Linked DNA regions of Drosophila melanogaster. The protein of the gene in region 3 purifies or fractionates together with the protein of the main gene of each other region. This does not show direct contact. Each region holds a gene or a part of one and is shown on either strand. Other genes may lie near its edges.

Region 1 (5,030 bases), about 11 Mb from region 3:
TCAAGGCTGATGGCAGTGCATGGTCTCTCCATTGATTCTACTGCCACCGAAAATTGCTTCTCTTGATTAGGGTATTCTAGAGATTTTGCTGATTTTGTGGACAGTTCTGAAGAAGCCTCTTTGAGATTTAAGGCCTTTTCAGGCTCCTTAGGATTTTGTGCGTCCTTCACCTGAGCACTACTGACCGGGTGGTGCTTCTCTTTCTGAAATATATCTTTTGTATTTGTTTGCATTTCCTCTTGATGCTTAGCTAAGTCTTTCGTAGAGTCCAAGGCAGATAAGGTGAGCTTCGGCTCAAAGGATTGTGTACCAGACTCCTCAGACAGTACTGATTCTACCAATGATTCTGATTCCTTTGCATCACTATTGGGTTTAGAGTGTTTGGCTAACTGGTCTAGTTCAACCCTATTTTGCTCCTGATTTGGATGATAGTGCACAAAATTATTCTCTGGTTTTGACTGGGTTACGCTGAGAATATGCGTTTGCATAAGATGACGGTCTTCCGCATTCAAGACGTCCTTTAACATTTCCATGGTTTCGTTTAGGTCATCCACATCCATGGCTTCATAGCTGACGTTGTTGTGCTGGCTAACTGCCAAAGGATCGTTGAATTCAGCTCCCAGTGTAGAAACTGAGGTCATGGACAGCTGCTGCTCCAAAACATCATTAAGGGCACTTGAATATGCCTCTAACTCCGATCGATCTCCGGTGTAGCGCTCGCTATGAAGCGATAAACACTCGACAAAAACATCCGAATCCGAATGGTTGGATTTCAGTTGAGCTAAGGGAGGAATGAATGCGATATATTAATCAATTCGTTTTAATAATAATTAAATACATATAAGAAATTTATTTATATAATTAATACAACGAGAAATTTATACATAAACTTGGAAATGATTTATTTTCCCCAGCTGGCCCTTTCCTTTGTATAAATGACGGTATTGAAATAGAAGAAATTACTTCGCTCTTCTGGCGGATTTCGTATGGAATTCTTTTGTACATCAATATAATTTTTCTACCTTAAGAGATTTCTGGGTTACACAAACAAGATTTACTCACTATCCATATCGGTACTTAAAGGAGCTAGTTCCGGTATTTGCGTCTCATCGAACTCGGGAAGACCTCCAAACTTTGGAACGAGGTCGTCTTCTGGCTTAAGTCCACCGGGTACCGCCGTCTGATGCCCCAGAGCTGCCGCCATTGCCTTCTGTTGATCCATGCTCGTTGGCTTGGGACTGGGCTTCACCGCCAACGGACTCAGCTGCCAAACAAGAGATGCAAAATTTAAGAATATAGTTATCAAGATGTACATCGCGGTCATGATCCGAATAGTTTTAAACCGTGAACAACCGATGTTGGGAATGGGGTTTTAAAGATGATCACGAGTAGCAGCTGGTTGGTCATTTAATTAAGAATTTTTGACACACAAAAAGGCAAGAGCCCCACCACAGTTGGCATAAATAAATCGCATTTGGGATGACTTTTCCCGTATTTTCCCATTGCCAAGAAATTATACAAAGGCATAGGACCCCCATTTTTAGTTATTATCATATACAAAAGAATACATTATTATGAAATTATGATCTTCATTTGAAAAACTTCAATCTCATCTAATGTAGCCCATATGATACAGATGCCTTCAATTCACGCTTAAAAAAGACATACATTTCAAATGTTTGTCGCAGTCGGTCAGTCAACAAAAGCAAATGTCATTAATTAAAAAGCCAGCCAAGACGTAAAAATCGGGTATATGGCATATGTTTGGGAGGGTGGCAACGAAACGGATTGAGGAGCAAAAGGTGGGGAGATGGACGTGGAACTGGGTCGACGTCAGCTTTTGTGCAGTGCGAAATAAACATGCCGCGGATTCAATGCGGCCGGCCGCCATGTTTAATGTCTATTTAGGTTTGGGAGCATCGTTCTACACGCGGAATTTAATTAGAGCGCATTGCAGTATAATGGGTGCTGCAAGGTTAAAGTCAGAAGAATAAGGCGAGTGGTGACCGGCTTATGAGCGAGACACTAAAAATTAGGAAAATTCTGGCATTAGACCAATTTCTCCGTTTCGATTTTATTGATAAGTATTTTAATTTTAATTTTTTGACAATGGGCTCAAATTTGAGTGGTAATGGGAAGCAGATTCCTGCGGAATATTAGCCCAAGCTAATGGCTAGATACAACCCTATTTAAAATAATATTTTCTGCAACGCAATAAGGTGACAAAACCAAGTGGAACCGCATAAATACTATATATGCAATCGGCAAAACACATTGGGACATTACAAAAAAATTCCAATGTGTAGATTTATGCAGTTTGCCTAATACTAGAACACCCCCCCCCCCCCCCCCAGGGATGCACATAAAAAGATAGTCCTAATTCTTTCAGACATACCTCGCCACTCATGGCTTGCAAGTGCTCCATTTCGTTAGCACTCACTTGGTTCAGATTGAAGTTTATTTCGCTTAGAAATTTCTGTATTTCTTCTCTACTATCAGTGCTGTCCTCGGGGGCTGGGAGTGGGTTCGAGATGGATTCCATAAATAGTTCACAGTGCTTTCCCTCCAGTCGTTGCAGCTCCTCAGAGGCGGACTCTAGTAACGAGTCCAGGTGCGCGGATACAAGTGTAACTCCTCCCTTATCCCTTGGTGTAGAACATTCATCAGCGGGACTAGCAGCTTCTAGGGCTTCCATTGTCGTTGGCTGATTGGTGCTGATGCCAGTGGTGGCGATGCTTTTGGGTCTTTTGATGATATTCGCGAGGAAATCCATGCCGCTCTACGCACGATTAACTCCTGAGACGCGATACGGTTCACTTGGCTCCAAAAAATAATGGATCTATAGAGTTCCTTAGTTTGGTCTTTAGTGTTTTTTTTTTTTTTTTTTTTTTGTGGTTTTTGTTGTGACACAGATTTGGGCTCGCCTACTCGGTAAAATCTTTACTGTGATTTTCCGCTTCCATTATATTGGGTAATACCTCCGGGTTTCTCACGGCCCGTTGTCGCGTGCGGTTCTCACTGCCTCCCGATCATGTCTGCCTTTAAAATCAATTTAAAAATATTTTCGTTTTCAATTTGCTTTGCTCTGCTCAGCGTCACACATGCACAAATACTTAGAGCACGGCGAGAGTGCGGGGGATCGACAGACCGAGTGAGAGAACGAATAGTTTGAATGGCATCCACATAACGATCCGGATGTTTTCGTATGTCTTCATGTTTGGATCGTTTTAGCCCACATGGCGTTCTCCCCTTATCAGCACGGTCCTCTCTTCCATTTATAATACTGCCATATGTTTTCACATGTGAGACGGCGGCTAGAGACACCTTTGTATATTACACATTATGGATTTCATACCAACTTAAAACATTTATTTAGCACATCCTTAGTCTTGAAATAGTTCCGATAAGTTATACTCTGAACTTTTAAGCACAAATATTCCTAATGAAAATTAAATCAAAACAACAGAGAACTCAGTCGTTTTTCTCGACTACCCATTACTCAGCTTTTGGAGCTACGAGAAATATACCCTTCAAAGATTTTATTAGCATATAAATAATATAAGTCTTAGTGGCCAGATAGACTTGGCTGGTGATTCTGAAGATGAAATCTTATCCTTTCTATGGTTGGAATAGTTACCCTTTTCTATTTCGAGAAAATATATTGGGTTTTATGAAGCTAGAGGGCAACACACACTTGATCCATTTAAACACACTTCTCTTAGATATATGAAATACATTTTGGAAACGGTCGAGGTCGTGGGCAACATTTATAAAATAATAATGTCAAAAGAGCGGGCTCAAGTTGACAACCTTTTTGACTGAACTGCAGTGAAAAACTGAAAAACTATACAGGCCTCAGACGAAATTCAGACTGAAAGGCAGCAGTGAAAGTGCAAGACACCGCAAATAAGTCGAAACACTTAAAGAAGGGGATAAATAAATGGGATACGAGAATACGGCGACCGCCGACTGCTTATATTGTCTTCGCAAATCAACTGGAGGAACTTGGTGCAAATTCAACGCTTTGATGACAGAATTATTTTGCACATTTTCCATAGGATTTTTGGAGAACAGTCTTATTTGCAAAATGCTTTCTCTTAAAGATATACCAGTAGAGGCAAGTAGAGTGCTCTAAAATAATAAATATGTTGATTTGGCTCATCACATTGTTTCAAGTGTAGAGGCCTGGTGGGTCCCAGATGACATGCAATCCCACAGCCATTGTTGCGCATCATGGCGCACTATCTGCAAGCTCCACATTGCCCAACGGCTGACTTTGCATGTTTGGCGAGAAAATGTAAGCAATGAAACGGAATCCCACACGATGGGCCTTGACGAGGGGGGAATAGTTAGATGTTGGCTCTAGCGTTATCCAAGCAGCGCGCGACAGGTGACAAGATATCACACGGTTCCCGGCTCAGGGTGAATTTAAAACCAATGTAGTTTGTTGAAGCATATAAGCCTTGAGTGGAATCCAAATAGTGGCCACAAATGAGTATACTGATTTCAGAAAACACAATAAATACAATAGAATAGAATACAAGTGGAATTTGAACCTTAAGCTGCAATTCGAATATCCAATAGAACTCAGGAAAATAAAAGAAAACAAATATTGAGGAAGAGCCAACTATAAACTGATCTAAAAATAGGCAAATGTGGAAAGGGGTGGAAACCATCTGTAGATCCTTTATAATGAGCATTTTTGTTGGCAAAAGGGAAGATGGAGTTAAATGACATTTAGTCAAACTTAAATCCTCAGATGGGCGTTTTTTGGACTGTAAACCGCATTAGGCACTGACATTTTGCAGCCGTTAGCCGCCAACTGATTTATTGGCATAATAGCGATACACACTAGCATTTTTAAATGGAAAGTGCACCATCTGGAGAGTGGAAATTTCAAGAGACAAATATATAGAAGGAAGAATAAGTAACTTTTGATTTTCCCTTGGCATACCCGATTCCCTCGTCCGTCGTCCGCCTTTATGGTAATTTTCCCGGACAAGGCCCTCGGTTTCCGTGTCTTGCCCGGC
Region 2 (6,315 bases), on a different chromosome or scaffold from region 3:
ATTAAAATGCATTTAAAAACACAAAATATTTAAAATAATTGCCAAGAAGCTAATGCGCCGCTTGTTTACATCGGTCAACGCCCAAATAATGTCGAAGAGCAAGGGGAAATCAAAGGCCGGCGTTGAAAGTGCGAAAAACGATGCAAAAGCGATGCCGGCTAAGGAAGCCAGTCCGATTTCAGTCGATAAGAGCGGCAATATATGCATACAAATCCTTGCCAAGCCGGGGGCTAAGCAGAACGGAATCACAGGAATTGGCTTTGAAGGAGTGGGCGTCCAAATCGCCGCTCCGCCCAGCGAGGGAGAAGCTAACGCCGAACTGGTCAAGTTTCTGTCGAAAGTTCTAGGTCTTCGAAAGAGCGACGTTTCTTTGGACAAGGGATCTCGATCGCGAAACAAGATAATAATGATAACCAAGGGAGTGTCCACGGTGGAGGCCATTGAGCAGCTGCTGCGCAAAGAATCCGATTCATAGATTGTTTATTCCCCCCAATAAATACTCGCTCAGAAGTTAGATTTTTAAAACACATTTGCTTGTTGTTTATTTGGTTTTATGTTTATCATCGATCGGGTCATCAAACCTTAATTATATATATACTCGATTCTTTATATAGCTCTACCAACTAGGGCGCGTATGTAGTCTTTAGTTTTTTACATAAATTACTTGGATTCTAAATTATAAGTTCTTAAAACGACAACTGCTCTTGAATGTTCTGTGAGAACCTAACCATTTAACGAGTTATTCCTGCTTTTTTATGAGTTAAGCGTATGTCTGTCGCTTATAACGCGGCAAAATGTTAATGAATACAAAATTTAACTCGGCCGTAGTAAACTCAGTATAAAAGTTCGAAACGCAAGTAAATTGTGTATGTGAATGCGAGTGATAGAATGAATTTTGGTTGTTTGTTTCGACTGGTCGCTTAATCGACCTCCTCCATGTGGGAAGCGTCCTCTGTGTCCTCAACCAGCGAGGGGGCATCTCCGGCGCTCTGGGCATCGTCGGTAGTCATAGGCTCGTCCTCGTCGATTCCCAAGCCCAGCTTGATCATGCGGTAGATGCGGCTGGCGTGCACCTGGGGGCTGTCCAGCGAGAATCCAGAGGACAGCAGAGAGGTCTCGAACAGCAGGATGACCAGATCCTTGACGGCCTTATCGTTCTTGTCGGCATCGGCCTTCTGGCGGAGAGTCTCCACAATTGGGTGATCGGGGTTGATCTCCAGCTGCTTCTTGCCGGCCATGTAGCCCATTGTGGCGGTATCACGCAGAGCCTGGGCCTTCATGATGCGCTCCATGTTAGCGGACCAGCCGAACTGCGAAGTGACAATGCAGCAGGGCGAATCCACCAGGCGGTTGGACACCACCACCTTCTCGACCTTGTTGTCCAGGATGGACTTCATCAGCTTGCACAGGCTCTCGAACTTGGCCTTGTCCTCCTCGCGCTTCTTCTTCTCGCTCTCATCCTCAGGCAGCTCCAGACCCTCCTTGGTGACAGAGACCAGCTGCTTGCCCTTGTACTCCTTCAAGTGCTGGATGACATACTCATCGATGGGCTCGGTCATGTAGACCACCTCGAAGCCACGGGCCTTGACGCGCTCCACGAAGGCAGAGTTGCTGACCTGGTCCTTGGACTCGCCAGTGATGAAGTACACGTGCTTCTGGTTATCCTTCATGCGCGACACGTAGTCGGCCAGGGAGCAGAAATCGTCGCCGGAGGCAGAGGTGTGGAAGCGAAGGAAGTCGGCCAACTTGGCACGGTTGTTGCTGTCCTCGTGCACACCCAGCTTCAGGTTCTTGCTGAACTGGTCATAGAACTTCTTGTAGTTCTCCTTGTCCTCGGTGAGCTCCTCAATCAGCTCCATGGTCTTCTTGACCAGGTTCTTGCGGATCACCTTTAGGACCTTGTTCTGCTGCAGCATCTCACGTGAGATGTTGAGGGGCAGATCCTCGGAGTCGACCACACCCTTCATGAAGTTCAAGTACTCTGGAATGAGGTCCTCGCAGTTGTCCATGATGAAGACACGACGCACGTACAGCTTGATGTTGTTGCGCTTCTTCTGGTTCTCGAAGAGATCGAAGGGCGTGCGACGGGGAATGAAGAGCAGAGCACGGAACTCCAGCTGACCCTCCACGGAGAAGTGCTTGACGGCCAGATGATCCTCCCAGTCGTTGGTCAGGGATTTGTAGAACTCGCCGTACTCCTCCTGGGAGATATCATCGGGATTGCGGGTCCAGATGGGCTTGGTCTTGTTCAGCTCCTCATCCTCAGTGTACTTCTCCTTGATGGTCTTCTTCTTCTTGGCATCCTTGTCCTTCTTGTCGGCATCCTCATCCTCGCCAACATCCTCGATTTTGGGCTCATCAGTCTCCATCTCCTTCTTCTCATCACCTTCCTTCTTCTCATCATCAGCCTCATCGTCGCTGACCTCCTTCTCGCGCTCCTTCTCTACGAGCAGCTTGATGGGGTAGCCAATGAACTGGGAGTGCTTGTTAACAATCTCCTTGATCTTGCTCTCCTCCAGATAGTCGGTCTGGTCCTCCTTGATGTACAGCACGATCTTGGTGCCACGGCCCAGGGGCTCAGAGTTGTCGGCACGGACTGTGAAAGAGCCTCCGGCAGAGGACTCCCACACGTACTGCTCGTCATCGTTGTTCTTGGAGGTGACAGTCACCTTGTCGGCGACCAGGTAGGCGGAGTAGAAACCCACACCGAACTGACCGATCATGGAAATGTCGGCACCAGCCTGCAGAGCCTCCATGAAGGCCTTGGTTCCGGACTTGGCAATGGTTCCCAAGTTGTTGACCAGGTCGGACTTGGTCATACCGATACCGGTATCAATGATGGTCAGAGTACCAGCCGTCTTGTTAGGGATCAGCTTGATGTACAGCTCCTTGCCAGAGTCCAGCTTGCTGGGGTCAGTAAGGGACTCATAGCGGATCTTGTCCAGGGCATCGGAAGCGTTCGAGATCAACTCGCGCAGGAAAATCTCCTTGTTCGAGTAGAATGTGTTGATGATCAGGGACATCAGCTGAGCAATCTCAGCCTGGAATGCAAAGGTCTCTGCTTCTTCTGGCATCTGCAATGGATTTACAAAATCATTAGGATTAGTTATAGTCTGTGGGTTCAACACTAAGGAAAAGCAGCTGCATTTTCAGCAGCTGCTCCGGTTTTATTCTTTTTCTTTCTTTCTCTTTTGCACATGCCTCATTTAACATGCGCATATACAAGTACAGTGGTGGTCAAAATTATAGCATTCACTTTGCAACCCGTAAAATGGAATTTTAATTTCAATTAGCCAACAGAATTGATTTTAAGTTGCAAAATAATGTTTTAAATTTAAATATTTAAATATAATTATGCAAATTGGGTCGGTTGATAATTTTTCTACCCCTGCTGTGTGCAAACTCGTGTCTGTGTGAGTGAGCATTGCATTGAAAATTCGTACTTCACCAAGGAAGTTTGTGGAAGCATCTAGAAGCCAAAGGAAAACTAATTCGCCTAGCAAGTTGCTAGTAGCAACCAACCAATTAAAATAGAGCAAATAGGATTAAAAAACCGATTTAACAGAATTTGCTTACTGACGCCACATTTTTACTTGAAAGTATTAGTCATGGGCGTGCATGTGTGCGTATGCGGCATGTGCAATTTAAAATGGGAATGCAAAGAAAGCACGTGTAATTGTAAATGAAGGACAGTAATTTATAATTAAAAAGCCTATTTGGCACGCTGTTTAATTCATGCTAAAGCATAGAAACCTCTAGAACATTCTCGAGCGGCAAATGTGATTTGCGCATTGTCACCCCCTAAAAAGAGCGGCATAATTCGATTTAGCGCTAAAAGACCATTGCATTAAACAAAAATTAATCTTGTATTCTATAAACCACATGTAATTGTAAATAAAGGACAGTAATATATAATTAAAAGGCCTATTTGGCACGATGTTTAATTCATGCTAAAGCATAGAAACCTCTGGAAGATGCGTCCAAGCGACAAAAAATAAAAGAAACCGGCATTTTGAGTTAATTTGCACGTTGCCACCTCTTAATTAATCAAAAAAAATTCTTAAACTTGGCTCCTAGAAATTTAAAATCAATATCTCACATTTGGGTCAAGAACATTCGAGATGCACAGGACCACGCAAAATGCACATTTTGGCCATAGCCACTGATAAACTATTCACTCTTTTCTTGTAATTTGCATTACTCACCTTGTATGTATGTTTTTCGTTCTATTCACAGAATAAAGGTAAAAATACAGATATTTTCACTTTGCTTTGTATAGAATTGGAAATTCACAAAACTTTTCAGACGCTGCTTGTTGTTACGACGCACACCGTACGAAATTTTTTTCAAGACTCGAACCGGCAAACGCCGCGCGTCTGCTTTTATAGAAAAACCCGACCCGAACTGGAAGTCTCTAGAAACTTCTAGAGGCTTCTGGATGCCAGGGATGCAACTTCCTGTGAATACTAGGGTAGATCAGTGTTGTGATACGGTCGAAAAGTGCGCAACCTGTGCGGGCGAATTCAAAAATTATACTGAACTAAGTTTGGTGGAAATTCGTCTAAGTGGTCCGAACGATTGAGCAAAGCCCACTGGGATTGCTTAAAACATTACAATTGGATATCAAAACGCCCACTAGGCTTATACTGTAATTAGGAAAATGGAAAATTTAATTGTTCCCAATATTATTTTACTTGTTTTAACAGTAAATAATAAACAAATCAGCTTATGACCTGTTAATTTTTATTTATATTTATGAATACTTTTCTCCACCAGACTATCGATATTTCCAGAGTTTCAGAGACTTGGTGGTGCAAGCTGGTTCCTCTGGAATAAACTAGTTCCATTTTAAGCGGACGGTAAAATTTGAAATCACTTGAGTGGGTTTGGGGAACAAAAATTGGAAAGTTTTTGTTGTAATTAGCTAAAAAGCAGACATTTCACATTCCGGAAAATAATTGCTTCTGTGCAAAACCTGCTACAAGCCCAGTCAAGTAAAAAATCTCTCATTAATTAAGAAGTGTCATATCGATCATTTGGTTTCGGTCAATTCTGTTATCGATGCCTCCCATCGATATCACCAGCTGACGCTAACACTTCCACCACTAATAACATAAAAGTTGTTTGCTTATATTTAAACAAATGGGCGGCACTAAGTGTTGTTTTCGTGATTGTCCGGTGGGTTCTAGCCGCAACCCCAATATGCACTTCTTCAAGTTCCCCGTTAAGGATCCGAAGAGGTTGAAAGATTGGGTCAGGAATTGTTCAAACCCTGACGTTTCAAATGCACCGCCGTCCAAACTGGCAGCCAAAACAGTTTGTGCCCGGCACTTTCGAGCGGAATGCTTCATGAACTACAAAATGGACAGACTCATCCCAATGCAGACGCCCACTTTGTTCAGGATCAACAGGGATCTGGCACTAGACTATGAAAATCTCGACCAGAACGGTGAAGCTCTTCTCGTGAAGTTGACGCCTCCAAAGCAGCAACACCTAATACCACCTAAAGATTTCGAGTGTCCTCTGGGATTCGTGGATGGTGAGACACAGAATTTGGATGTTGTTAAGAAACGAAATACAGTAGAGTTGACAGAAGAGGAGGAACCGCAAGGGAAAGACGAAGCCGACGAAGTGCTGGCTACGGAGCAGGAACAGCCGGTTGTACACACGGAGAAAACAACGGTGGCGCATAAGAGTTCTACAACATCAACAAGCGCTTCGGCTATGCCTCAAAACATTCTAGATATCATAAGTCAACTTCAGCCTTCATTGGGCATCAAATTGATTAAAAGACCAGTAAAGCGTCAATCAGGAAGCGAGAATGAGTTGTTTCAGCTTGAAGAGCAGCTCCCAAAAGAACAAACTGATGATACAAGCAAGATGCGAACAGTCACCAAGGAATCAGAAAAGCAAATTAAATCAAAAAGTTGTATTATTGACGTTATGAAAATGCCAAAGCTTGCCGATAAATGTCAAGAAAAGCAAGTGCCAACTAGAAAAGAGTACCGACCAATTAAAGGGACTGTGGTTAGAAAACGTGGGATGCAGGAGGCAGATGCTGATAGACTGAACGAAGATGAATCCACCAAGGAGCAGGCTAAGAAAAGGAAGCTACCCCAAGAAGCACAAAAGACTGACTCCCACGCTTCACCTGAGAACGGTACGATATTGAACCGATATACACAATTGCAAGAGAAATTCTGGGATGAGCAGAAGACTCCGATGTTGGAGAAACCCACCCAATCCATCCAAATTAATCTTAGTTCTAGCAAAGAAAATAGTCAGAGTGATTCCATTTCCGAAACCTTATCTGAA
Region 3 (4,703 bases):
GGCACTCCTTTATCTTGGCCATTTTGAGTGGATCGACGTCGGCGAGCAAAGGAGTCACCGCTTTGTCTCCCATTAGCTTTATTAAAGTACCAAGAGCTTCGGCGCTGCTGTCGCGTACGGTTGGATCTGGTTCGTTAAGCGTTTTCACTAGACTGGTGGTCAGAAGTTTAAGCAGCTTTTTGTTTAGCGCGGTTGGTTGGGTGCGGGTTAGGGCACGGGCAATAAACAAGGCCGTTTCGGACTTAACACTTGGATTTTTGTTGGACAGGGACTCTACAATGGACTCTTGCTGGGCCTCTAGAGAAGTGGAGGCGTATATGGCATCAATAGCTTCACGCAGCGCTGTCACAACATTAGGTTTCTTCTCTTTAAATTTTTCCAACAGGGATGGGACACAAGCCTGAAATAGAAGAACACATATGAAAACACGTTATTTGGAAGAAGGTGAGAGTTACTTACGGATGCGTAATTTGAGAATCGCTTTGCCAATCCTTTGGCTAGCAAGGCTAGACATTTTCCGGCCATTGCAACGAGGACTACGTTGGAGTCCTTGGTTATAACCTTTTTAAGAGCGCTTACCAGCGCTCCATACTCGCCATTCTCTAGCTTGGGGTGGTCAGTGAGCAGTTTCTCCAGGACTTCCAACGATTCTTTGCGCAGAGTCCATTTCTTTTCCTCCAGCTTATCGTAGAAGTCCTTGGGCATTTTGGAGAGAATGTCAACGGGGTCTAGAAGATCCATAGGATCGATTTCTTCAACGCCAGCCTCGCCATCATCCTCTGCATACGAAAACCAAAATCAAATCAATAATTCACTGCTTTTGTAATATCGAGGGCTTCATACCATTATATGCATCCTCGGTCGCTGCAGCATCGGCGATCTTCGCTTGCTTTTCCTGCTGGGACTTTAGATATCTAAAAGTAAGAGCGGTTTAGCTAGGCAATGATAGAGAGAAATCCTTGAACACACCTGGAGGGTTCAACGCGTTCACCTTTGAGTTTGTCGAATTCATCCTCCAGCTCCTTTAGCGTTACCTGTGGTAGCGTTGAGATCTGTGCCTTCATTGCAGCTCCGATCCAACGGTAAATCTCAACAGCCAGCTGCTTGCCCTCATCTCGGACCGTCTTGTCTCGGTCAGACATTAGCGGAGCAAGCTTTTTAATTAACGGCTTGACGCCGATCACCTTGTGTCCGAACTCGCGGAGGGCCAGTGTGGTGGCTGCCACGCAGGCAGACACAATCTTAGGGTTCTTGGCCTCCATACCTTTAACCAGCTCTTCGACGACGGCCTCCTGCTTCTCTATCTCCACATACATTAGAGCCACTTGGACGGAGAGCTCCTTGGTTTTGGTCTTTGGCGCCGCAATGCACTTCTGAACGATGCCTGTCATCACGTCGCCTACTGTGCGTCCCGCCAGCCCGCTGTTCTCCACAAAAATGAGGGCCGCTTCTAGACCCTTTTCCTGGGCCAGAGCATTAGAGTCCACTACCATCTTCTTTATGAGCCCTGCAAATTTAGACCATTCCGGCGACTTCTCGTCATCCAGCTCGCGAAAGATCTTTGCGGCCTCCTCGTAACCATCGACGCGGGCTTTCCATAGTTTATGGACACACCGCTCCTCCACCGGCAACTTCTTGTACTCTGTGTCCTCGGCCATTGTGTCGTGTTTCGTACGCTACTCGGGTTCTCCTCAATGGTCTCAGTCGCAAACAGCCTCAAGCAGCATTCTGCGAAACAAAAAGATAAATATGTATAAAAAAGCTACTTTAATCGAATTTTTCTTAAAAGAAAAACTAGCCAAGCTTCCAATGAAGCAGAACTATTCCGGATGTCAGGAGTCATCGAGCTGATGTTTTAAAATTGAGCTTAATAGTCTATGAAATACCGATGGCCAAGGAAGCAGAATCATCCATCCGTTTCGCTCGAGGGGCGGAAAAAAGTAAATGGGTCGGCCATATTTAGATTGTCGTTTTCTAAGTGCAGTTATTTGGCAAACAGAAGCAGAAATAGGAGAGTGTAAATTTGGATTTTCGGAAAAGGTTGGTGGGCTTGTCACCCAGGATGGGTGATATCATGTCGCTGAATAGCGCGTTATTTTTTCAGTCAATTAATCAGGGGCACGGCAAATACCCCCCGCACAACCACTACAAAAGGTGACACACGCACACGAAAGCCTGCGACTGAATCAGGCGTGGATTTTCCATCACTCCCATTTATTATTCATGCATCTGTCTCTTTAATATTGTTTTGATGCGCTCCTACTGTGCTCACGTTTGAGTAGAGCATTTTTCAATTCGGATATGCCCGCGCTTTGTTTCTTCCTCTCTCTTGATTTCGCTCTTTCAAGCTCTCACGCACACCGACGCTCTCAAGTTCGAATTAACGGATCATACCGCAGGCAACAACAAATGTTTCTCCTGTGGGCTGTGTGTCTGGATTATGCCGTCGTTTACCGTTCCACCCAACCGCCAATGGTTGCAGCGGCTATCAATTTCCAGTGGCTGCAACTTGAGAGCCGCAGATGAAGCACATATCGCCCATTTTAGCGACAAACAAATTGCGACGCCCTGGAACAAAATCGCGATGCATCCGAGTGCATTCCGGTACACGCACTAGCACACTCACCATCAGAATTGTGATCCAAGTACCGCCGTAGAGCGGGGACTGGGCGAGGAGCTGCGGGACTTACAGCTGGCCAGGGACAGCGGCTTGAAAGGGCTGCGCAATGCAATAACTTCGATTTTTCGCAGGCGACGACGTACCAACACTTACACACGGCACAACACAGAAGCACGCACACTTATTCGACAAAGACACACCGACGGGGTCTTTCCGGGATGCCAAGTAATGTAGCAACAATGAACAATAACTTAACTACGTTTCCAGCACTTCGAGCCTCTTTTGTGCAGCGGAATTTACTTGGTTTCGCGGTAGGTAAATAAATAATAATTTTCGCAGTTTTCCAACAGCGTCGTTGCGCCAGTGTGACCGCTACTCACAACTCTAGCATCCCCTAAAACCTAGAATTAGTGTGCTGGGTGGAAAACTTTGATAGGTACGCGCTAAATTTTAAACATATATTTCCAAATATTTGGCCAACATTGATTTCAAGCGATTACCACAGGCAAATATTTATTTGATGTTTGGGAGCATTCCCGTGTAGAACATTAACTAAGAGAGATTTGACATTCAGCATAAAAAAAGCCAATTGTATAATTGTTATGTTGTATTTATTGAGCCATCGCTTTCGATGCGCGTGATCTCCAGAAGATGAATAGTGTGTCCGCCCATAAACTCCAGCAGATCCACTCCCGACTCCTTGCCAATGTCCTCCATGCTGATGGGTAAAGCCTGCAGCTTCCACTTCTTGAGCAGCGCCTCTATGGACCAGTCGGCGCTCCGCTCCTGGTATGTAAATATAAATTTGGCCCCGGCATTTCGCTCCAGCAGAAAAGCAACTGTGACCACGATATCCTCGAACACGCTGGGATCGTAGAAGCAGTCTGCTGCAATGATAAGGTCCAGAGGCGGCAGTCGGAACACGCTGTTCAGCAGCAGGCCCCAACTCAGGCCCACCACATCGATATCAACGCCCGGCTGCAGTTGATTGGCCAGGCAGGACTTTCGGATATGGGCCAGTGACTTGGGCAGAATGCAGTTGTCAGTAAGTACCACTTGGGCGCGGCATTTGGCCGCCAGAATGCCGGGCAGGGCGGTGCCGCTTCCCAGCTCCAGGATGCGCTTGCCCGCCAGTGTCTGTCGGCGCTCCCACAGGAAGTGGGCTAAAATTGGTGCGCAAGGCCATGTGTAGAAGGAGTAGGCACCCTGAAGCAGCTGTAGGCGGACACTTTAGATACTACACGAACACCTGGTTCTAAGGATTACCTCAGGTATTTTGATCTCCAGTCGCTCGGCGGGTGATCCGCTGAAGACAAACTTGCGGATATGCTCGGCAGTGGCTGTGGCCGCCACAATGTCATTGTCCTCGCTGCCGCTCTTCATGTGGAAACGCATCTTAGCTCAAGCATGCAGGAGTATTACTATTTTCACTAAACTAAAGTTATTTTTCAGCGTTTTGTTTACAACCTGTTTGATTAGCGATGTCACTTCGTTGCGATAACTTAATCGATAAAAATTGAGGCGAGTGAAGCAAATAGTGACCGAAGGGTGACTTCAGTAGCAGTTGACATTTTAAGCCACCATTTCTAAGCTTCAATTAAAAACGTTTTTGGGTATCCCAATTCGTCCAGTTTATTTAAAGGTATGCATCCCAATTGAAAGTGGCTGCAGCTGAGCGCTCCTCTAAACAAAATTCTCGTGACCGCGATTGCTGCTGAACGATGACTAGTGTATAAGCAATCGAATATCGCAAATCTTGTATGATCACTGTGGTGTTTTGCTTTTCCGATTGCCATGGAGGGATTCAGATTCTTGGAAGAATGAGCTCCGTAAATAAAATAAAGCTTAACGAAAACAACAAGATGCACTCTTTTGGGAACTGGGAGCGGTGCCGGAATCTGGGAGAGGGCGGATTCGGCCTAGTGATCCATTGGCGAAACCGAACAACGGGCCGTGAAATTGGTGAGCTATAAACACCTTATGGGCTAACACTAATATACATATACATATAAATATTTTAAGGATTTTCTTTTTCGCAAACACACATTACCAGCCCCCAAACACCCTCCCCCTTTCCAGCCTT

The links. Proteins that work in one complex are often made in the same cells at the same time.
Region 1: the proteins of msps (region 3) and tacc purify together in Drosophila melanogaster (affinity purification with western blotting; 4 studies listed by BioGRID, with this or other methods). This does not show direct contact.
Region 2: the proteins of msps (region 3) and Hsp83 purify together in Drosophila melanogaster (affinity purification with western blotting; one study listed by BioGRID). This does not show direct contact.

What each region holds. Positions count from the first base shown.
Region 1 is NT_033777.3:4,743,402-4,748,431, forward strand, and holds the start of tacc (transforming acidic coiled-coil protein), read right to left. Parts: upstream 3,014-5,030; 5' UTR 2,774-3,013; coding exon 2,396-2,773; intron 1,265-2,395; coding exon 1,063-1,264; intron 782-1,062; coding exon 1-781.
Region 2 is NT_037436.4:3,191,258-3,197,572, reverse strand, and holds Hsp83 (heat shock protein 83), read right to left. Parts: upstream 4,605-6,315; 5' UTR 4,206-4,604; intron 3,075-4,205; coding exon 921-3,074; 3' UTR 514-920; downstream 1-513. Other genes in the region: CG14966 (uncharacterized protein), read left to right, coding at 53-475; CG14965 (uncharacterized protein), read left to right, coding at 5,143-6,315. UniProt on the Drosophila melanogaster protein: Molecular chaperone that promotes the maturation, structural maintenance and proper regulation of specific target proteins involved for instance in cell cycle control and signal transduction. Undergoes a functional cycle that is linked to its ATPase activity.
Region 3 is NT_033777.3:16,049,100-16,053,802, reverse strand, and holds the start of msps (mini spindles), read right to left. Parts: upstream 3,003-4,703; 5' UTR 2,627-3,002; intron 1,926-2,626; exon of another isoform or gene 1,887-1,925; intron 1,729-1,886; 5' UTR 1,659-1,728; coding exon 970-1,658; intron 915-969; coding exon 844-914; intron 780-843; coding exon 460-779; intron 401-459; coding exon 1-400. Other genes in the region: CG5013 (uncharacterized protein), read right to left, coding at 3,221-3,835, 3,887-4,015; IKKbeta (I-kappaB kinase beta), read left to right, coding at 4,483-4,582. UniProt on the Drosophila melanogaster protein: Binds to the plus end of microtubules and regulates microtubule dynamics and microtubule organization. Function in neurons is essential for adult survival, and is important for climbing behavior and activity.